Rattus norvegicus: one gene and its partners. The protein of the gene in region 4 interacts with the protein of the main gene of each other region in a biochemical or structural test. Links are inferred from orthologs where the notes say so. Each region holds a gene or a part of one and is shown on either strand. Other genes may lie near its edges. The genes, in order: Rps6, Mapt, Rptor, Rps6kb1, Pdk1 and Mtor.

Region 1 (4,279 bases), on a different chromosome or scaffold from region 4:
CAGCCTGGGCTGCAGAGTGAAAGCCTGCCTCTAGAATATACAATATCTCATGCAAGCTTCTCCAAGCCCAATCTCATTTGTTTGCTTGTTTGCTTCAGACTGTATGTATTTCTGCCTACCCTGGAATTTACTATATAGACCTAACTGCCAAGAACTTGTAGCAAATTGTCTTTCTGTTTCCATAGCGCAGGGGTTAGAGGCAGTCACTAATGGCAGGTCTAACAATCCAAAATTTAAAAATAATAGGTAACAGGGTCTAGAGAGACATCTCAGTGGTTAAGACTAGTAGCCACTCTAACGGAGGACCAGTATTCAATTCCCAGAACCTTCATGGCAGCTGACAACCATTTGTAACTCCAGTTCAAAGGGATCAGACACCTTCTAATGTCTAAAGGGCTTGAGGCATTCATACTCAAGGATGTTGTGTACGCAACTTGAATGTTCATCAAAAGAATCAGTACACAAAAATGTGAACACACACACACACACACACACACACTGCCTTTAAAAGAAAATTCCATCATACAATAAAATATAAACCTTAAAGACTACATTTAATGAAACCAGCCAGTTATAAAAAGGCAACTCCCATTTGATTCCATCGCATGATGGGCTTAATCAATATTTCATTGTCAGAAATGGGTGACAGTAGTAAGCAGACCAGTATGGTGTGCATAGGGAATTTCAGAACAGCCAGAGTTATACAAAGACACTTAGTCTCAAAAATTGAGTTCGGACAGAACAGCATGTAACTGCAGTAAACAAGAGAAGCACAGAAATGGTGTTGTTTTGAAAAAGAGCTGAAGATGACAGTGACACTCGGGAGACTAGGTTCAATCTCCGATCTGAGTTGTCACCCTCACCCCACCTACAAAGCAGAAAGTTTTGGCAGAAGAAAACAGAAAGCCGAAAGGCTCAAGACTGAGGCATCTGATAGTTGTCTGTGCCAGGTAGACGTGATGGATCGGCTGGACTGCTTGTCTTCTGCGGTCCGGCGACTATAGGAGTCACTCTGATCGATGCAGAACAAAGCCTGGCTTTCAAGATTTCTCCCGTCAACCGCTGGGACCAGGACAAGATCCTGAACTGGAAATCTTCCGCAGAGATGAGGGACAGGCCAGCCCGGGCGACAATTCTGATCGAGCTTTTCCATTTAGGTACTACTAAAAACCATGGTCGGAAACGGGGATTCGGCTCCTCAGTGGACCAGTCTGGTCGGAAACGGGAAAAATTAGCTAAGAAGCGGCTAACATTCGTGATAAACAAGTTGCCCTGTCACCGGGAACATCCAGAATACCAACCAACACCTCACTACAAACCAGCCTCACATTATTCCGGCTAGTACCGCCCCCGGAAGTACCACCCACCTCAACTCACTTCCGCCGGCTCCAGCTCGGGCTATTCTCGCGAGAACTTAGAGTGCTATGTGACCTGGGCTAAGCGGAAGTCGGGCCTCTTTTTCGTGACGCCTCCTAGGCGGTCGGCTGTGTCAAGATGAAGGTAGGCGTCCCTGACTGGGACTGAGTGAAGCAGTTCGAGTCCCAGAACGCGGGACTGCCTCAGCCCCAGGCTTTCACAAAACCCGGACTAAGCGGGGAAGGGTCTGAGGCAGGAGGAAGCTTGCTTTTAGGGCCTTGGGACCCTTTGGGAGAGCGGATGGCGGGCGATTGCAACGCCGCGACAGCGGACGTAGAGCAATGGCGGCGCCCGGTACCCGACCGGGCACATGCGGGCCTGAAGCCCCACTTGCAGCGGGTGTCCCGCGGCATTTGACCCCTCCTGGACACTCTGCTATCCGAGATCGCGAGGGTGAATGCTCTGACGTCCTCATAGCATTCTACAGAGCTTTGGCAAAATGTTCCATTGACGTGTGGCACTTTGCAGGGCCTGCGAGTCCGAGTCGTGGGTTTTCTGCTGTGTGTGGGAGCTGCTCAAAACGTTCTGCGCACGTGAATTGTTGAAGTTGTGTAGGTGCCTAAAGTCGTCTTCTTTTGCCCCCTTTAAAATCCTAGCTGAATATCTCCTTCCCTGCCACTGGCTGTCAGAAACTCATAGAAGTGGATGACGAACGCAAGCTTCGTACGTTCTATGAGAAGCGCATGGCCACAGAAGTAGCTGCTGATGCTCTTGGTGAAGAGTGGAAGGTAAAGTTTTTGGCATCATTACCCCAACTCGTCACAGCAAGTGCTGTTGGGTTTGGTTAAGTTTCATTGCTAGAATCAAATTTGGGGAAACGTGCCAAGAGGAGTCTCTCTTGCTTGTTATAATTCAAGGCCTTAAGTCTTGCGTGTTGTAGTAAGACCTGGGTAGTTAGGAGTAGAAGTTGAAATGGAGAGATTGCTTGTTGACCTTAGTTGGAAACGGAGACAAAAAAGTGAGTGGCTGAAGTTGAACTCAGTTGTTCTTCCTAATGGGGTTGCACACAAGAAGTTAAGAACCACACTTTGGAACAGAACTGGTAAATGTACCGTTTTATGTTCGATGCAGGGTTATGTGGTCCGGATCAGCGGTGGGAATGACAAACAAGGTTTTCCCATGAAGCAAGGCGTTTTGACCCATGGCAGAGTGCGCCTGCTTTTGAGTAAGGGGCATTCTTGTTATAGACCTAGGAGAACTGGAGAGAGGAAGCGCAAGTCTGTCCGAGGATGCATTGTGGATGCCAACCTGAGTGTTCTCAACTTGGTTATTGTAAAAAAAGGTAAGGCTTTTGTTGGAGTTTATTAGTTGAAATTGGTTGTCCTGGACACAAGGTTCTGCCTCCTAGGTAGTGGGGCATTGACCAAAGTGGGACAGATTTGATGTCTTAATTCCGATTGTTTCTTCAAGGAGAGAAGGATATTCCAGGACTGACAGATACCACTGTGCCTCGTCGGTTGGGACCTAAAAGAGCTAGTAGAATCCGAAAGCTTTTTAATCTCTCCAAAGAAGATGATGTCCGCCAGTATGTTGTCAGAAAGCCCTTAAACAAAGAAGGTAACAGGGATTTGGGCCTTTGTGCTATTGCTGCAGCTGTGCTTGCCACACAGCTAAATTCATGGCTTCGGCATTAGGAGCGACAAGGATTTTTTACAAAAGTATTCTCATTTTAACATGAAAAACTTTTAAAGCACTTTGTGTGTATGTTGGGGGGGTTAAAGGACAACTTGCAGGAGACAACATTTTGGAGGGACCAGGCTCTAAGTTGGTGCTTTGGATTACAGAAGAACCACTTTAATTTACTAATGAATGGCTCCACATATTTTTCATCTCTGGGACATAGATTGTGAAAATCAGGAGAAACACCCATTTTAAAGGGAAATGTATGAACAAATACATACTTTTTAAAGCTTTTATGTATATGAGTACACTGTTGCGCCTTCTAACACCAGAAAAGGGCATTGGATTCCATTATAGATGGTTGTGATCCACCATGTAGTTGCTAGGAATTGAACTGTGGTCCTCTGGAAGAGCAGGAAGAACAGTCTGCTCTTAACCGCTGAGCCACCTCTCCAGCCCTCATAATGTTAATGCTTCAGTAGGAAGCATAGCATGTATATTAATACAAATAACTCAGGACTGTTGACTTGTATTAAGAGTGTGCTATTAGAGAGAATGTGTAACTTAGTTGACAAAAGGTTTAAAAATGGTCCATCATCCCCTCATGAGCAGTTCAGAGTGGCTGAACTGTAGCAGAACTTGGCTATCCAGCTTATTTTACAAGGGTCTGAGCTGAGATGATAGCAGGGTTCTGTTTCTAGAGAGGCCTGTAATGTGGGGTAAGGAGTGTAAATCCAAAAGGCTAAAATGAATAATTTATAACATACCGTTAATTTCTAATAGTAGGCACGGACTGAAAATAGGATTAAAACATAAATGAGAAGTTGAAAATACGGTGGGGTTATAACAATGCAGACCATGGGGCCAGAGTAATACTTATGTTTGGGGGACAGCACTGGCCTTGGGTAGATGGTGGGGACTGAGTTGGGCTTGGGTGTGCTAGGCGTGTGTTATACACTGGGCATCGCCATCCAGCATGGTGGATGTTAAGTGATTACTCATCTGGATTTTTAGGTAAGAAGCCCAGGACCAAAGCGCCCAAGATTCAGCGTCTTGTTACTCCCCGTGTCCTGCAACACAAACGCCGACGTATTGCTCTGAAGAAGCAACGCACTAAGAAAAACAAGGAGGAGGCTGCAGAATATGCTAAACTTTTGGCCAAGAGAATGAAGGAAGCCAAAGAGAAGCGCCAGGAACAGATTGCCAAGAGACGTAGGCTGTCTTCGCTGAGAGCTTCTACTTC
Region 2 (3,500 bases), about 18 Mb from region 4:
ATTGTTCCCCACCTATGTTCTGTGTGTGTGTGTGTGTGTGTGTGTGTGTGTGTGTGTGCGCGCGCGCATGTGTGTGCGTGTGTGTGTGTGCACATGTGTGTGTTACATGCACATGAGCATACAGGTGAGCACAGCCATGCACGATGTGCAGAGTCCAGAGCAGAACATCAGGTGTCTCCCCTTTCACTCTTGAGACAGGGTCTCTCACTGAACCGGAAGCTTGCTGGTTCACTGAGCTTGCTAGGCTGGCTCGGTGAACTCCTGGGATATATCTGGTTGCACCCCTCAATGTGGGGGTTACAGGCTAGCATGCACACCATGCTCTGCTTTTTTAACTTAGGCGCCAAGGAACTCAGGCCTTGGTGCTGGCAGAGCAAACTTTTGCAAGCACTCCTACCCACCGAGCCATCTCCCCAGCCCCGGCTTGTTTTTTTTGAAGCAAGATATTACTATTAATCCCAGGCTGGCCAGGAACCAGCTGTCCCTCAGTCTCTCAATTGCTGGGATGACAGGTGTGTGCCAGCCATAATATTTTGCTATTCCAGAGTGCTTCTACATGCCAGTGGCTGTACCTTTGCAGCGCCCACCTCAGGATCTACCTACTCCCTGTTGATGCCTGTGGAGGCTCTTCCATTTTTCTCAAGTTACAAATAATGCTGAGTATGAATAACCTTGAGTGACCTCACACATTTTACATGTTGTGTTTAAGTGTATCCTACAAATGTAATGTCTGTCTGTCTGTCTGTCTATTTGTCTGTCTATCTATCTGTGCTGGGGATAGAACCCATAGCCTCAAGCATGCTAAGCACATGCTCTACTGTAAATGTACTTTTCATTGGCTTGATGTAATTGTTATCTTGGAGGCTTATTGTGTCAGTCTGCTAAACTAAGCCTAGTCCCAGACGCTTCCAGTCTCTGTACAATGTAATCTAGGCCTAGAGTGTTTTCAGCCTCTGAGACTTACTGCTGCATAGGCTCACCCTTTCTTGTTCTTTCTGAACTCTGGTTGGCTGGCTCAAACCTACTCTCCTAGCTGACTGATTCAAACTGACGTCTTTCTGCTTCTCACTGAATTGCTTTGCCTGGCCTCTAACTCTGGCAGTCTATTTTAATCTTCTGGCTCCTTTTTTTCTCTGGCTTGTTTTGCCTTCACCTGTGTCTAGTTGGTTCTCTCTTCAACCTGTCTCTATAAAACTCTCCTGGTAAAATTGCCTCCTCCCTCTCTCTTCCCCTGCTCTCACAAGTTGCCTCTCTTTCCTCTCTGTTCTTGTGAGAGTTAGGCATATCCTATCTCTGACTCATTCTGTCAAATCTTCCTCTGCTTCGTCACTTTGTCTGTCCCTCAATTGGACATCACTTTCAAACATGTCTGCTTCCTTCTACAAACTAACTTTACCTTCATTGTTTGGGATTAGAGGTGTGTACTAAGGGTATGTGTGTATTCCATCTAGATCACACAGAACCTAGAAGGTCTTTGGATATGATCAGAGCAGCCACATTGCTGGATTAAAATTCCTTTATGTTCAGGAAGCAGATCTCCTGGAGTTGAAAGCCAGACTGGTCTACATAGTAATTTCCAAGCAGACCAGAGCTACATACTGATATCCTTCCTCACTGTAGATAAATAGGTATATTAACAAAAATTAATGGACAATAATGAAGCAAGTATCCAGTGTGAAAATCAAAATGCAAAGCCCTATGGATATTGTCCCATATGGGTTAAATATATGTGTTGCCGGGATTTGAACTCAGGACCTCTGGAGGAGCAGTCGGTGCTCTTAACCACTGAGCCAGATCTCCAGCCCTCATATCAGTTTCTATAGGTGTGGAATATTTAAAGAACACAGAAGCAATGGTGACAGTCATTGGGCAGCCAGGTGTGGGATGGACCACGCACAACTATTGCTAATTGGGAAACAAAAACAAGTAGGTGGTGGCTCCTGAGGATGCAACTTAGTTGGTAGAGTGATTTTCTAGCAGGCAGGAAACCCTGGGCTGGACAATACCATTACATACACTAGGTGTGGTGGCACACGCCTGTGACTTCAGCCTTGGGGACAAAGAGGCTGGAAGATCCAAAGTTCGAGGTAATCCTCAGCTGGATAGGGAATTCCAGGCCAGCCTGGGCTATATGAGAGCCTCTTATAAGAATAAGTAAATACAGGGCGTGGTGGTACAGCACTTGGGAGGCAGAGGCAGCCCTGAGTTCAAGGTCAGCCTGGTCTATAAAACAAGTTACAGGGCTGGAGAGATGGCTCAGCGGTTAAGAGCACCTGACTGCTCTTCCAGAGGTCCTGAGTTCAATTCCCAGCAACCACATGGTGGCTCACAACCATCTGTAAAGAGATCCGATGCCCTCTTCTGGTGTATCTGAAGACAGCTACAGTGTACTTATATATAATAAATGAATAAATAAATCTTTAAAAAAAAAAAAAAAACAAGTTACAGGACATCCAGAGCTACACAGAGAAACCCTGTCTTTTTTTCTTTTTTAAGATTTACTTTATTGGGGTTGGGGATTTAGCTCAGTGGTAGAGCGCTTGCCTAGGAAGCGCAAGGCCCTGGGTTCGGTCCCCAGCTCCGAAAAAAAGAACCAAAAAAAAAAAAAAAAAGATTTACTTTATTAATTTTATGTACACCATTGCTGTCTTCAGACACACCAGAAGGGGACCTCGGATCCCATTACAGATTGTGATCCTGAGCCACCATGTGGTTCCTGGGAATTGAACTCAGGACCTTGGCAGGAGTCCTGAGCCATCCATCTCTCCAGCACGAGTAACCCCGTTTTAAAAACAAAAACAAAATGAATGAATGAATGAATGATTTCCTACCCCCACAATCGAATTTCCCCCGGCCTTCTCATTAATCTCACCCTCTACTTCTTGCAGATTGAAACCCACAAGCTGACCTTCAGGGAGAATGCCAAAGCCAAGACAGACCATGGAGCAGAAATCGTGTACAAGTCACCTGTGGTGTCTGGGGACACATCTCCACGGCACCTCAGCAACGTCTCCTCCACGGGCAGCATCGACATGGTGGACTCTCCACAGCTTGCCACGTTAGCCGATGAAGTGTCCGCCTCTTTGGCCAAGCAGGGTTTGTGATCAGGCCCCTGGGGCCGTCACTGATCATGGAGAGAAGAGAGAGTGAGAGTGTGGAAAAAAAAAAAAAAAAAAGAATGACCTGGCCCCTCACCCTCTGCCCTCCCCGCTGCTCCTCATAGACAGGCTGACCAGCTTGTCACCTAACCTGCTTTTGTGGCTCGGGTTTGGCTCGGGACTTCAAAATCAGTGATGGGAAAAAGTAAATTTCATCTTTCCAAATTGATTTGTGGGCTAGTAATAAAATATTTTTAAGGAAGGAAAAAAAAAAAAACACGTAAAACCATGGCCAAACAAAACCCAACATTTCCTTGGCAATTGTTATTGACCCCGCCCCCCCCCTCTGAGTTTTAGAGGGTGAAGGAGGCTTTGGATGGAGGCTGCTTCTGGGGATTGGCT
Region 3 (3,500 bases), about 34 Mb from region 4:
AGACCAGGGGCTGCTGGGAGTACCATGGAGGACTAACGGTCCTGCTGGGAGTGTGCAGGTTTAGAGCTCAGCCATGTAGAGCACAGACTGCCCTCCCAGGACCACTGGGTATGTGAGGCCAGTCCCAGTGTGCACACCCTGGCACCACTGCTGAGCACTGAGTGAAGGCACTGCCCATGCTGTAACTGAGTCCCTTGGGCAGACCACTATGTTCTGGATAAAACAGAGGATATTCAATACATGCCTTCTGACATCAAAGGGTTGCTCTGTGCAGATGCAGAGTCTCTATCCTTCCTGGGCATAGTCAGGACACTCCAGTGTGAGTTCCACCTTTTCTGTAAGTTACAAGCTCACCCCTGATGGCCTTTTGTGAACCAAAGTGCTGGTGTTAGAGTAACCGTCAATGGCAACACCAGTTTCTTCCACTGTATGTGGGAGTGAATGGAGAACGTGAGGTTTCTGAAGACAGATGAAGACTTCTTCCCCAGACGGGCCCAGTGGGTACCAGCTTGTGGGCTCAGAAACTTTATCCCTGGCACAAATAAGGAGGATCAGCTCCATGGTGATGGGTCAGGCAGCTTCAGGGGGCCACCAGCCTCAGGTTGACAGTGTCTGTGAAGACTCAGTGGGCTCTCACCTTTGGTCTAGTCTACCTCAGCATCTGAGGACGTTGGAGGGGAAGTAGAGACCAGTGCAAACCTGTGGCCTGAGCAGCATGAGCTATGGGTCCCTGGGCGTAATTGGGAAGTTATAGTGGGTCTGAGTGCAAAAGCAGTTGGGGCACAAACAAAGCTATTAGAAAATCAGCCTGGAGCTCAGAGAGATAGGAGAAGCAAAAAAGTGTGTGCAGTTGAGGTGAGAGAACATCAGCCCACAGACCTGGCTGCAGCACCTCAGCAGCCTCAGGGCGTGGGTGTGTGGAGCACACGAGGGCCTCTCCAGCAGACCTTAGTTTTCTGCAGACATCTTTCTCTTTACCGAGAGCTTCTTTTTGCCTTTCTGTCTATAAACATTTAAGTTGAGATGCTAAGCTATCATAAACTACATGTAAATCCTGTCTCCTCAGACTCCGGGGCTTAGGTCTAGTCACATTTTAATTCAAGGACTTTTCTCATTCGTTGTGACTAGAACCCACTACAGCTAAGTTAGCTTATTGCTCACTTCAAAAATGCTTCACCTTCATAGATTCCTATGCCCTGCATTTCTAGCTTATCCTAGAGATATGGCACTGCCACCTCCACCACCACTGCGTTACCATCTCCTGACTGTAGTCATGTCTCCCAGTAGTCTCTTCCTGTGTCCTACCCTCATCTGGTTTAACCAGGAAGGCTGCATGGGACTGACCCGGGCCCTCCACACATATGTTAGTTTTTTTGGTTGGTGTTCACGTGAGACTCCTGATAGCAGGAGCAGGCGCTACCTCTGCCTCTGTTGCCTGCTTTGGGGACCCGTTCCTCCTACTGGGCTGCTTGGTCCAGCCTCAGTAGGAAAGGATGGGCCTAGTCTTGCTGCAGCTTAATATGCCAGGGCTGGTTGGTATCCATGGGAGGCCTCCCCTTTTCTGAAGAAAAGTGAATGGATGAGGGGAGATGAGGTAAGGACTGGGAGGAGAAGAGGGAGGGAAAGGTGTGGTCAGGATGTATAATCAATTTTAATTAACTAATTAACTGATTAATTAATTAAAAAGAATGCTTCAGCTTATCAATTCTATCCACCAGTCCATTGGGTGGGATCAAAAGAGGCAGTTTCAGACTCAGCAGGGTCAGAGGCCTAATCTTAACTATTCCAGGTTATGGAATTCACATCAGAAAGCCTTGGACTAGTAGTGATTGGTGCCCAGCAGTGAGCAAGCAGACTAAGGCAGGTGCCTGGCTTTGGGGACACCCCTCATCAGCCTGCTGCCTCCACACTCCCCCCCTCCTCTGCACCTGTGCTGCCAGGTGTGCAGCCCTGTTCTAACCAGCTGTTTCCTGGAGTCGCCTTAGGCGTTAGTGTGCGGATCTGCTGCCCAGTCAGTTTCCTGCCTCTGGAGACATAATTGTCACTTCTCCCTCTCTACAGGAGCTGGTGGTGGCTCTGAGTCACCTTGTAGTCCAATATGAGAGCAATTTCTGCACTGTGGCCCTGCAGTTCATGGAAGAGGAAAAGAACTACCCCTTGCCTTCTCCAGCAGCCACAGGTACTGCAGCTTCTGGGAGCCTGGGCCCCCTTCCCAGCCTTCACCAGAATGATTAGTGGCCTGAGTTCAGCCAGGTCTGAGCATGGCCTTCTGATGCAGTGTGGGTGGCCCCTGGCTCTTGTTGTCTCACACCTTTAGAAGGGAAAGGGCCGTGCTGACCCTCTTACTCCTTCCCTTCCTTCTTACCCTTCTTGGAATTCAAATTTGGGGACATCTTGAAAGACGGCAAACTTGTAGTGGGGCGTACTGAAACGAACATTAGCTGTCTTCCTGCGATGAGTAAGTGAATCACATGGCTGTCGGCCTTGTGTTTCCATGAGTCAGGGTAGGAAGCGTTGCTTCTCACATTTGTCCTTTTCGCTGGAGAGTACAGTCATCTGTGTTCCTAATTCCTCACCCCTCCCTCCAGACCACAGAGACAGCCGTAAGGCGGAGGTGCGGCTGCCCAAAGGCTGGGGCCAGCCTGCCAGGCCCAGGGTGCTGAGCACCACTCTGTCTCTGGCCGAGTCCCCTAACACCAGAACAGCCTCAGAGCTACTCTTGCCTTCCGGGCCATGCTCTCCTGGGATTTAGTACTCACATGTCTACAACTGAGGCCTGCACTCACACAGGTGAAGGACAGGGAGGCCCTTCTACATTCATTCTTGTTTCAGTAATACCAACTGTCCCTGTTCCCATGTCTGCAGACTCCAGGCATTCACCCTGCTCCTATCCTGACAGCCATTGCTAACTCTTTCCTCTCCCCTTCTTTCCTAGAGGGAGGGAGCTTGACTCCAGTTCGAGACAGCCCGTGCACCCCCAGACTCCGGTCAGTGAGCTCCTATGGGAACATCCGAGCCGTCACCACAGCTAGGAACCTGAACAAATCTTTGCAGAACCTGAGCTTGACGGAAGAATGTAAGACTCCAGAAACCAGAATTGGGATGGGAAGGGTCAGTGTGCTCTTCACAAGACATTTATCAAAAATGCTACTGTGCCCCTTGACCCTGCCCTCCAGAATATGGGCCCTGATGTCTTATGTGTCAGAGTGACAAGTGGCCAACTGTCTTGAGTCAGAATCTTCCTTTCAGACATGGGCTTAGCAAAGACCTGGTTTAACACCCGATCAGTCAGGCCAGGGTGTGACTTTTGAGGATCTCAGTTCCAAGGAGAGGGTCCACCAGTTTATGCATACGCATGTCTATTAATGTGCTTACGTGTGTGTAAATGTGCCCACTATGAAGAAAGCTCACATCTCAGACAGACCCTGACCTCCTTCCTGTCATATTCTGGCCAGCGGGCAGCTCAGTGGCCTTCTCTCCCGGGAACCTCAGTACAAGTA
Region 4 (3,500 bases):
GCAAACCAGGCTGGCCTGGCGTTCACTGTGTAGCTTATGCTGCCTTTGAGTTCCTGGCAGTCCTGCTCCTGCTCCAGCCGCCTGTATGTTGGGGTTACTACAAGTCTGAACTACTACATGTGGTTCCTGAATCATATCTACAGCACAGATGTGCACACACACTTGGTATTTTCTGTTTTTTTTTTTTTTTTTCTTTTTCTGTTTTGAGACAAGATCTCTATACAGTTCTAGCTGTCCTGGAACTCAACTATGTAGGCAAGGCTAGTTTCGAACTGAGAGATTGCCTGTGCTAACATTAAAGGCTTGTGCCACCAGGCCTGGAATGCCCATGGGTCTGAGAGCTTCACAGTTTCACTCCTTTTGTTAATGCTGCTTATCTTGTGACTTATTATGAGTAGTACAGGGTTCCTCACCCAGATCCTCCAGACAGTGCGGAATTCCTACCCCTCACCTAGATCCTCTACACTCCATCATCTCACTGTATTTGCTTATCTTCCTTCATGCATATGCGTGTGTGTACATACATATGCACACATACACAGTCAACATTTTTTGTACTATTCAAAGATTTATATAAATAAAACTCTAGCATTTACTTTCTAAGTTCAAGGACATTTTTTATGTAACTAGTTATTACAATAATAACTTAGTTTTCTTTAATATTGAACAGTTCCTTAGTCTGTCTTTGTCACATTGACATTTTTTAAAATGTGTATAGCCCAGTTTCTGTAGGATGCCATCAATTTGAGTTTGTCTGATGTTTCTTTAGGAATAGATCCAGGTTATGCGTTTTGACAGAACTGTCCAAGTGACACCGTGTTCCTTCTCAGCGTTCAGAACAGGGGTGCATGGTGTTTAGATCTTTTTGTCCCACTGCCGTTAATGTTCATTGTGGTCACATGATGTCTGCAGGTGTCTCCGGAGGAGACATTTTGGGATTACCTCAGAGTCTCCTCTCATCAGGCTTCCCGGTCCAGTGTTGGTGTTCCTAACTGTAACAGCTAACGTGTTTGCCAAGCAGTTTCTTCCTCCAGTCTGCCACCTTCCTTTATCACTGTGCCTGGTGCTCTCCTGCAGTGCAGAGTTCTGTTTGCCATTGAAAGCCATATCTATTCATCTATTTACATCATCATGGGAGTCTCAATGTTACAGTATAACCCTTTATACTATCTGATACTCAAATTATGTCGATGTTAAGTTCATTTTGTTTATGTAAGGGTTCTGAAAAAAAGGAACATCATATTCAGTAAAATTTAGGTGACTTAATTGTGTACTAACTTTTTTACATATGGAAAAAGTACTAAAGAGGCTTTAATAAAGACTTTTTCAGCTTCAGGCTAGAAATCTATATATTTTGAAGTTTGCAGGTGCAAAAGTTGTAATTTCAAGCCAGTTTTAGTTCCTAAACTTAGATGTTTTATAGAATAACAATGCTGCTAAAAATTGCTTCCTGGAGACTTGAAACCTCAGTTTTTAGCAGTTTTTTGTTTTTGTTTTTGTTTTTTTTTTTTTTTTTTTTGGTTCTTTTTTTTTTTTTTTTTTTTCGGAGCTGGGGACCGAACCCAGGGCCTTGTGCTTCCTAGGTAAGCGCTCTACCACTGAGCTAAATCCCCAGCCCCTGTTTTTTAGTTTTTAAGGAGTCAGTCTTATAAATAGAAGAAAGTAAAAATTTATTAGAAAAGGTCTGGAAGTAAAGATATTTATTCCTAATACCTTTCCTTTCTTTATAGGAGGAGAACTATTTATGCAGTTAGAAAGAGAGGGGATATTCATGGAAGATACAGCTTGGTAAGTAGAGTTTTGTGGTTGTATGGACTCAGGTAATAACTCATGTAATTAAAGCAAACCTACCTTCCCGTTGTGGGCAGCCACACGGTTCAGTAAGTTGATCTGGAGGCAGTCAGTCACTCAGAACATCAAGGGGGACCTTTGGGACTGGGCAGCTGTTGGAGGTCACGTGATTCCTTTGCCCCCAGGCCTTGGGTGGACCGCTCTTCACTGCAGAATTTCCTTGAATTGGTAAGCTGCCTGCCTTGGTTGTGGGTGAGTGTGGTTTTCCAGTGAAATTTTGTATGTGGAGCAATGGAAAGTATCAGAAATCATCTCCTCTTTTTTTTAGACTTTCCAGTTCCCCAGGTGCAGTCTTAGGGAGGTGGTAACCCTGAGCATACATCTGTGGATTGATTTTATAGCCAGGATGGGATCTGCCCTCCTATTCGTAAGATGGCATCTGCTTCAAATTAAAAATATACACATCCTTTTGTGAAGTGACTGTATTGGGTAACAGTAAAACAGTTTGACCTACACATTAATTGACTAGAAAACACTTAAATGTTTTTTCTATCTTAATTACCGAACTGCATTCCATTGTTTAATTTCAGGCCTTTTCTAACACAGAAGCTGCATTTAAGAAAGAGCCTTAGGGATGAAGTGCCCCTTTTTGGAGGAGGCTCTCTGAGCCCTGTGGAGGCTGTGGTCCTGCTAGCTGTGAAACTGCCTCAGCCCTCTAGGACACACCCTCTCCATCCTGGAGTACTCTGCAGGATTGCAGCCTTGTTACACAGCCAGTATTGCAGTGCTTTGTGCTTTTCGAATCCACACAGGGTTGACTCAGCCCTTTGTTCTTTTGAGGTAGATAAATTTGAGTGTCACACAGTTTATAGTTGTGGGCTGGCTGGCAAGAGGGTGGGTAGATACTGTGGGCATTGCTGTCTTTAATACACGGCCGTGTTATGTAAGGGATGAGTGGGCTTCTACAGGTCAGGCCATAAGGACCAAGACTTGATCTCTTAGAATAATAAAGTCCCTATTTCCTATGGAATCTTAAATATGGGGGAGGGTGGGAGGAATTTGTTTGATTGAATGACTGTTGGCCTAATTCCTACATAGAGAGATTAGAACCTAATCAATAATAGACTAGACTGGACATCTTTGCACTTTTAGCACTATGTTCTAATGGAAAAATTAAAACATGGTATAGCTTGACTAAAATGAGTGACAAATGTCTCCCTCATTGTGGCATCATCCTGTGCCATCTCTTTTCCCAGTACATTCTTTTGCCCCTGCTAATTTGGTCTTTGGTGCATGTCTGTTTCTTTCAAGGAATTTTGTTCCATACATAAACTGCTTTGGATAGATTACTTTTTAAATTTTTATTAAATCACTTCTGTTTCCAGCTTTTACTTGGCTGAAATCTCCATGGCTTTGGGGCATTTACATCAAAAAGGGATCATCTACAGAGACCTGAAGCCGGAGAACATCATGCTTAATCACCAAGGTGGAGATTTACAATTCTGTAGTAAATAGTCAGCGTACAGTCCTTCCACACAGATGATGGCCATTTTCAAGGCTCCCACGTTTATCTCTGTCTTGTTAAATATATTTCCCCTTAGAATATATAGCATCACAGTACTTTCTCCAGTACTTTAAGTATTTAGTGTTTCATGATTGAGCTTAATAGTTAAACACATTAGCCATTCTTTACAACTTAAAAAAAAGAA
Region 5 (3,500 bases), on a different chromosome or scaffold from region 4:
TCAGAAGCTCTGGGGTTGCTGGCAGTACTACTCTACACTTAGATTTATTTCACGTGTGCTCGTATGTCCACGTACTGTGTGCATGCCTGGTGCCCATGGATATAAGAACCTCTTCAGATCCTCTGAAATTTGAGTATGAATGGTTCTGAGCCACCACGTGTGGGTGCTGGGAACTGAACCTGGGTCCTCAGCAACAAGTGTGCTTAACCTCTGAGCCATCTCTCTAGCACCCCTCCCTTCTTTATCCTAATGTCTGTTGTGACATACCACTCACTTAAGGTTTCCAGTGCACCCTCACTTCTTACCGGGGAAGTGTAGCCAAACATTGAACTGATCATCCCAGAGGGTTTTAATTCATTGTACTAAAATACATAATTCCACAGGCCTTTGAATTCACAGCCAAGAGCAGTTTAAAGCATAATTCTAAACACAGGTTCTTTAGAAAGTCCTTCCATGCTTCGATACTGTAGTTTCTTAGTTCTAGCTGTTTGTGAGGCAGAGCTTCACATGATATATCTCACAGCAAATTTTTCAACTTTGAAAATCAAAATAGGGGCTGGGGAGATGGCTCAGCAGTTAAGAGCACTGGCTGCTCTTCTAAAGGTTCTGAGTTCAAATCCCAGCAACCACGTGGTGGCTCACAACCATCAGTAATGGGGTCTGATGCCCTCTTCTGGTGTGTCTGAAGAAAGCTACTTACATACATAAAGTAAATAAATCTTTAAAAAAAAAAAGAGAAAGAAAAAGAAAATCACAATAGGGCTCTGAGTGTAGCTTCTAGTATGTGGGAGGTGCTTGGTCCAGTGCCTTACACCCTTAGAAAATGAAAACAGCTATATAATTCTTAGTATGTTTCTAGTATATATACATTATCATCTTAAACAATATATGAAATCTCAACTATAAGCCATTTACGGTATAACTTTTTTGTATCTGTTATTTACACTTATTATGTTTATGCTAAGAGCATATTAATAACATCAACTTAGGTCTATGACAGAAGGGGTATCTATAGTAAATTAGGATATAGGCTAGGAAGGTAGACTATACTAACTATATAGGAAAACAATAAAAATAATGGGTAAGTTAATTACTAATTCAATCTACCATGTGGTTACTTGGTTTGAAAAATGACAGAATAGGAAAGATGTGCTTCCTTTAACTCACCAGAAGGTTGTCTGGGATCCTGTGTTGCAAAGTTGCATTTATTTGTTGTGTCTCCGTGTGTTGCACAGGTGTGGAGGTCAGAGGTGGCACAGGGTGATGCTCATTCCCTTATGTGCACTCCCGGGATTGATGTGCACTTCTGGGACTGATGTGCACTTCCAGGATTGATCAGGTCCTTGGCTCAGTGCTTTTACCATTGGGTCATCTCGTGGCCCTTAGTTTTGTTTCACTGAGACAGAATGCACAAGCTAGTCTTTAATTATGGCAATCCTCCTGCCTCGGCCTCCTGTATGCTGAGATTGCAGATGTGTAGCACCACCTGCAGTTTAAAGAAAGAGACTCAATTAGTTTATCTGTACGTGCCTGTGGGTTACGTTTATACGGTGCCCGTGGAGGCCAGAAGAAGGTGTCAGATCCCCTGGAACTAGAGTTGTTTATGGTTTTGAGCCACCATGTAGGAGCCAGGAACAAAACCCAGGCCTTTGCAAGAACAGTCAGCACTCGTCACTGCAGAGCCATCTCTCCAGCCCATTTCCCACTTCTGTTTGATAATATATCTTCAGAGTTAGAATCGTGAGTGTTTCTGACTTGTTTTTTGTTGGCTATTTTTTGTACACCTCTCTCTTGCTAATACATAAGAGTGTTGTACAGAACATTTAAATGACTACGTGGCATTCTGCTTTAGAATGCACTTTCTGTAGCCCCTGTGTGGGTTACTCTCTGCTTTTTCTTAAATCCATGGTGGGCATTCTCATGCGTACTTCACCTACATTAGTTTTTTTTTTTAGGATAAACTTAAGATGTGGCACTGATGTGTCTAGTATCTTTGCTCTTTTTAAATTTTATTCCGGTTATCATATTACTGCTAACCAAGAAGGGTTAACCTTGTGTTAGCTACACCGTTGAGGGCAGTGTTCACATTTGCAGCCTGGATTTCCAAAAGCAGCGTTCTCCCCACAGTCGTCTTTAAATCACGATACCGTACCGTGTGGGACCCGGTCACAATTTGATCCTTTCTCCTCTTAGATGAGTGACCGGGGAGGTGGTGTTCCGCTGAGGAAGATCGACAGACTCTTCAACTACATGTACTCAACTGCACCCCGGCCTCGTGTTGAGACGTCCCGTGCGGTGCCCCTGGTATGTGACACAGAAAGACTGTGGTGACCGTCAGCCACCATCAGAATGTGGCTTCCCCAAAGACACTTAAGTCAATTTCACAGGAGCTCACAAGGAAGGAAAATGTTTCAAAACTTTAGGGGCAAATACTTCTATCTGAATTTAAAGAGCCCTGGGATTAATTTTTAATTGAAACAGGCACAAGACAGATGATAGTTTGAGGTTTTTCTGGTACTCTTGGTCGTGACATCACAGCAGCCTCTTCTGTGGCAAACCATATGTACCTGTCTATTTCAGTATGAAGACTCCCTGTGGATTGTACCAGTCATGTTTTCCTTCAAGTACTTATATCTAGAAAGACCTCATTGGCAGATAGAACTGAAGGTCTCCTCTCTCTCTTTATTTGTGTTCTTCAGTTCACCCAAGGTTGCCTCCAATGCCCTGGTATTAAAGGCATATGCCACAGTGCCCAGTTTGTTTACATTTTTATTATTATTTTTGTTTGTAAGTGTATGAGTGTTTTGGTTGCAGCTCAGCCCTAGGACAGGAGAAAGCTGGAAATTGGGTCGTTGACTTGGAAGGCCACCTAGAAACGGTGGACTATAAAATAATTAGTACTAGCATGATGGTTCCATGAGAAGAATGCCGCCTTCTAACACAGACGGCATCATTTGATCCCCACATCCCAGGGTGGCAGAAGAGAGCCAACTCCTGGAAGAGGTCCTCACTTCCACACACAGAGCGCTATGCACACATACCTGCACTCATAAACACACCAATAATAGTAATATAAAAAATAATCAGTGGGAGAAAAGGCCAGAGCAGTGTTAGTGACTCTTCGGTTTGCATAAACGTGCTGTGAGGAGTACCACCCAAAGCATGGCTCGGGGATGGGAGCCATTTTTACCTCTTCCCAAGTGTCTGTAGAATTTCCTAGGTAAAGAAGGACCAGATACTGGAAACAGGTTGAACAAAGACCCAGTCCTGGGTTTAAGGAAGTCGGTGAAGGAGATCGGCTCCACTAGACAGGAGAGCAGGCAGAGACCTGATCTTGTCTTGGACGTTTTTAGAAGCTTGGCTCTTTCTCTCTGGGGTGGGGAAGTCCTGGTATGCTTTGAAGATTTTGGAGCAGGGAAGTGATCTGTCAGTGATAATAAGAAAGCGACTATTACAGATTATTTCCAGGTTCAGAACAAAGGCTGGGCATCCATAGTGTG
Region 6 (3,500 bases), on a different chromosome or scaffold from region 4:
TGAGCCCGAAGGGAACCAACAAAGCTGCCTTTGAGAGGGGAGGGCCCATGACTTTTGCATTGTGTGCTGAGGGCAGAGACAGGTGCACAGGACTGTTAGCACTTAAGGTAAGTTTCATAAGAGCGGGGCAGCCTTGGACATACTGTTCTGCTCTTGTGTCTTTCAGTTGGAGATGGTTTGGTGAAACCAGAAGCCTTAAACAAGAAAGCTATTCAGATTATTAACAGGGTTCGAGATAAGCTCACTGGTGAGTGTTTGGTGGTTAAAGGGACATGAAGCCTGATGAGGAGAGTGTTCTCTCCGCGGATGGCCAGCCCGCTGTCCTGGGATTTATTTCTACATGGGTCACGAGTAGCTTTAAGGCAACAGTGGAGCTCCCCTCTGGCTCCTGTTGCTAAAGACCCTTAATATCACTTGACATCCTTTAACCTCATTAGCTCTGGGGATAAGGGGGCTCTGGTGGAATCTGGATGGATTCCAGAACCAGGCCTTGTTACTGGCCTCGTGGTGAGATACTGGAGAATGCCTGACCAGTTGGGTTGACTATGGCTACTAGCATGCTGTGGAAGGACGGAAGGGGAGCCCTGTCTGACTTTAGAAAGAAGCAACCAATCCAACTGATTGTCTTTCTCCTGTGAAGTGGGTCAGTTCATGGAGAGTGGGAGCCAAGTAGCCAGAGACCCCATTCCACATTCACTTCCTACGTAACCTCTGAACTCCTCCATTTGAATGATAATAAGAACATAACAGAGGAGATGAACGTCACAGAAAACATGGGATTGCAGGCACTGGGCATCAGCCAGTTCTGTAGTCAGGGTGCTTTATCAAGTCAGTCAATAAAGGACCACACAAGAAGACAGCCAGCTTCCCTGGCTTTTCAGGACTCAGAATCTATGGGAAAACATTATCACTACGTGGAGAACAGGCTGTGATACCTTGTGATGGCAGGGTTTGATTTAATGTGGAAGTCCCAGGAAAGTCTCCCTAAGGAAGCTACAGCTCAAGCTTATGTGCAGGAGTCTATCAGTTACATCTCTCCTGCTGCTGCTGAGACGCTGTGAGGGAGCGTCTGTTAGGCTGACAGCTTTCATGGTTAGTAACCATAAGCATCATGGCCATAAGCTGTCAGCAAGCGGCACGCTTGGTGTCTGAGCAGTAGCTGAGAGCTTACATCTTGATCTACAACTCTGAGGCAGAGAAAACTAGCTGGAAATGACATGGGCTTTTGAAACCTCAAAGCCCACCTCCAGCTACACAAGTCTTCCAGTAACACTACACCTTATAATCCTTCCCAAATAGTTTCATCAACTAGGACCAAGTATTCAGATGTATACGGGGACCATTCTCACTCAGACTTCCACAAGGAATTAACTAGAGGACACTAACATTATGTCAGGCAGAGGGACAAAGGGTGTATCTAGAACCCTTTGATGAGAGTGATGGTAAAAGGAAGGTCCCAGGCTGCCATTCAACCCAGGGAAAACACCAAGGCAGGTAGGTGCAATGGGAAGGGAACCAGGCCTGTTTTTTTTGTGTGTGTGTCGTGACACCACCTGCACTGGCTGAGTGGCCTTGCATCAGAAGGAGGGCATGTAAATGCTCTAATATGCACATAAGACAATGCAAGAGATCTTGAGGAAGGCAGGTCAAAGGCTGGGTTAGGGCTGTGGCTCAGTGGTAAAGTTACTGCCTGCCACTCACAGAACCTAGGTAAGAGCCCCAGTACAACGTAAAAAATAAAACCCACAAAGATGGCTGTTGATACATGAGAAATGAGAAGGTCAAAGATGACATCGGTGGTGACCATCTGAGAGCTGAGAGACCCGATAACCAGACTGAAGTTGTTGAAGAGAAGGGGATGGAGACAGAGACGGCTGAGATGTAGCAGAGCTCTTGAGCAGCTTCTGCAGGGAGGAGAGGACTAAGTGAGCAAACTAGAGGTCGTGGTGGGCAAGTCCTGGGGCTGTAACCATGGTACAAAAGGACCCTTCATCGAACCACACTCTGTGTCTCTAAGAAAGAGTGTGTTCACAAAACTGAAAAACCATGACGTAGCATAGCTTTAATGTCAGTGTTCAGAAGAGAGAGGCAAGCTCCACCTAGGGCTATGGGGACAGAGGAAGAGAGAGACCCTGTCTCAAATACACACAAACCAACAAACAAACACCTATAGGAAGGATGTCCTCACCCAACATAGCCCCAGGGCCTAGAACTGAACAGTGACAAGTGGAGAAACCCTATTTATGGAGATCTGGAAGACTTAAACAGTGCTCGTGGTACTAGAAAGGTGCTTTGCCAGATAGCTGTGGTGGCTCACGCCTGCAATCCCTGTAGAACAAGGCAGGAGAATCGCAGCTGGCTGAGTCCTAACCGTCAGTTCTAGGACTACTCAAATAAATAAAAATGTTACCGAGGGCTCTAATCGCCTGTCATCAGATCAGGCAGGTACAGCTACAAACTTCAGGCCAGCTGACACTACATGAAATCTCTCGCAAAACACTTCCCCATCTCAAAGAAAAGCTAAAGAGGCAGGATGGGCCTGGGGAGGTGGCTCTGTGGTGAAAAGCAGGTGTTTTCCTTGTGGGCCAGGTTTGATTCCCGCATCCATGTAGTGGTTCCTGACCATCAGTTACTCCAATTCTAGGACATCTGACTCCAGGTTCTGACCTCCCAGGGCACATGCATGGAGCACATACAGACATACGGGCAACACGGAGGCACATAAAGTTTAATCTCTAAAACAAAAACAGCCATGCTTGCTTCGGCAGCACGTAGACTAAAAGTGGGATGATACAGAGAGGATTAGCATGGCCCTGAGCAAGGAGGACACACAACGAACTCTGGGGGTGGGGGTGGGGGACCAAATAAATAAAATAATTAAAAGAATAAATAGAAATTTGTAGTCATGCTTGTGCATTATCTCTAGTAGACGTTTAGATATTTAGGAGTCTAGGCTATCGGTTACCATAGCAAAATGAATTTGGCTTAAAACAGAAGCACACATATTATCAAAGAAGCCCTACTAGCTGGTTAGGCTGCTGACTCTGTGTGAGGGCAAGATCTTAACTCCAGTGGAAACACTGATGAACGTGTGCAGTTCAAGCTAAATGCCCTTGGCCACTTCTCAAGTCTGGTTTTGGAGCAGCCCCATTAGCCACATCTTTGAACTGGGTCTATATTAAGGGACCAGTGTGCCTGCAGAGGACACGGAGGTGAATTTCTCAGTGCAGATGTGGTCTATCCTTCCTGCTCTAGTGATTCTGGCTACATAGACAGCTGAGCCAAGCCAAGCCAAACAAGAACATGGGCTGTGTTGTTGCCAAATGCAGATGACAGTATTTCTACTTTCTAGGTCGGGATTTCTCTCATGATGACACTTTGGATGTTCCAACCCAAGTGGAACTGCTTATCAAGCAAGCGACATCTCATGAGAACCTCTGCCAGTGCTACATTGGCTGGTGAGTGAGCCTTGCAAAGAAGCCTCATTGGCCAAGTGTGGT

Evidence for each region.
Region 1: of the proteins of Rps6kb1 (region 4) and Rps6, one has a biochemical effect on the other in vitro, tested with the Homo sapiens proteins (4 studies listed by BioGRID). The link is inferred for Rattus norvegicus from reciprocal best matches to the Homo sapiens genes RPS6KB1 and RPS6.
Region 2: of the proteins of Rps6kb1 (region 4) and Mapt, one has a biochemical effect on the other in vitro, tested with the Homo sapiens proteins (2 studies listed by BioGRID and IntAct). The link is inferred for Rattus norvegicus from reciprocal best matches to the Homo sapiens genes RPS6KB1 and MAPT.
Region 3: of the proteins of Rps6kb1 (region 4) and Rptor, one has a biochemical effect on the other in vitro, tested with the Homo sapiens proteins (6 studies listed by BioGRID and IntAct, with this or other methods). The link is inferred for Rattus norvegicus from reciprocal best matches to the Homo sapiens genes RPS6KB1 and RPTOR.
Region 5: the proteins of Rps6kb1 (region 4) and Pdk1 form a complex in vitro, tested with the Homo sapiens proteins (2 studies listed by BioGRID and IntAct, with this or other methods). The link is inferred for Rattus norvegicus from reciprocal best matches to the Homo sapiens genes RPS6KB1 and PDK1.
Region 6: of the proteins of Rps6kb1 (region 4) and Mtor, one has a biochemical effect on the other in vitro, tested with the Homo sapiens proteins (18 studies listed by BioGRID and IntAct, with this or other methods). The link is inferred for Rattus norvegicus from reciprocal best matches to the Homo sapiens genes RPS6KB1 and MTOR.

Annotation. Positions count from the first base shown.
Region 1 is NC_086023.1:106,417,741-106,422,019, reverse strand, and holds the start of Rps6 (small ribosomal subunit protein eS6), read left to right. Parts: upstream 1-1,479; 5' UTR 1,480-1,494; coding exon 1,495-1,500; exon of another isoform or gene 1,501-2,012; coding exon 2,013-2,144; exon of another isoform or gene 2,145-2,487; coding exon 2,488-2,698; exon of another isoform or gene 2,699-2,826; coding exon 2,827-2,973; exon of another isoform or gene 2,974-4,050; coding exon 4,051-4,279. UniProt on the Homo sapiens protein: Component of the 40S small ribosomal subunit. Plays an important role in controlling cell growth and proliferation through the selective translation of particular classes of mRNA.
Region 2 is NC_086028.1:89,729,125-89,732,624, forward strand, and holds part of Mapt (microtubule-associated protein tau), read left to right. Parts: intron 1-2,888; coding exon 2,889-3,104; 3' UTR 3,105-3,500. UniProt on the Homo sapiens protein: Promotes microtubule assembly and stability, and might be involved in the establishment and maintenance of neuronal polarity.
Region 3 is NC_086028.1:105,631,943-105,635,442, forward strand, and holds part of Rptor (regulatory-associated protein of mTOR), read left to right. Parts: intron 1-2,061; coding exon 2,062-2,179; intron 2,180-2,935; coding exon 2,936-3,076; intron 3,077-3,455; coding exon 3,456-3,500. UniProt on the Homo sapiens protein: Component of the mechanistic target of rapamycin complex 1 (mTORC1), an evolutionarily conserved central nutrient sensor that stimulates anabolic reactions and macromolecule biosynthesis to promote cellular biomass generation and growth.
Region 4 is NC_086028.1:71,837,691-71,841,190, reverse strand, and holds part of Rps6kb1 (ribosomal protein S6 kinase beta-1), read left to right. Parts: intron 1-1,730; coding exon 1,731-1,788; intron 1,789-1,976; coding exon of another isoform or gene 1,977-2,019; intron 2,020-2,381; coding exon of another isoform or gene 2,382-2,423; exon of another isoform or gene 2,424-2,631; intron 2,632-3,176; coding exon 3,177-3,277; exon of another isoform or gene 3,278-3,500. UniProt on the Homo sapiens protein: Serine/threonine-protein kinase that acts downstream of mTOR signaling in response to growth factors and nutrients to promote cell proliferation, cell growth and cell cycle progression.
Region 5 is NC_086021.1:77,134,014-77,137,513, forward strand, and holds part of Pdk1 (pyruvate dehydrogenase kinase, isozyme 1 precursor), read left to right. Parts: intron 1-2,193; coding exon 2,194-2,304; intron 2,305-3,500. UniProt on the Homo sapiens protein: Kinase that plays a key role in regulation of glucose and fatty acid metabolism and homeostasis via phosphorylation of the pyruvate dehydrogenase subunits PDHA1 and PDHA2.
Region 6 is NC_086023.1:164,272,485-164,275,984, forward strand, and holds part of Mtor (serine/threonine-protein kinase mTOR), read left to right. Parts: intron 1-166; coding exon 167-247; intron 248-2,752; exon of another isoform or gene 2,753-2,834; intron 2,835-3,352; coding exon 3,353-3,458; intron 3,459-3,500. UniProt on the Homo sapiens protein: Serine/threonine protein kinase which is a central regulator of cellular metabolism, growth and survival in response to hormones, growth factors, nutrients, energy and stress signals.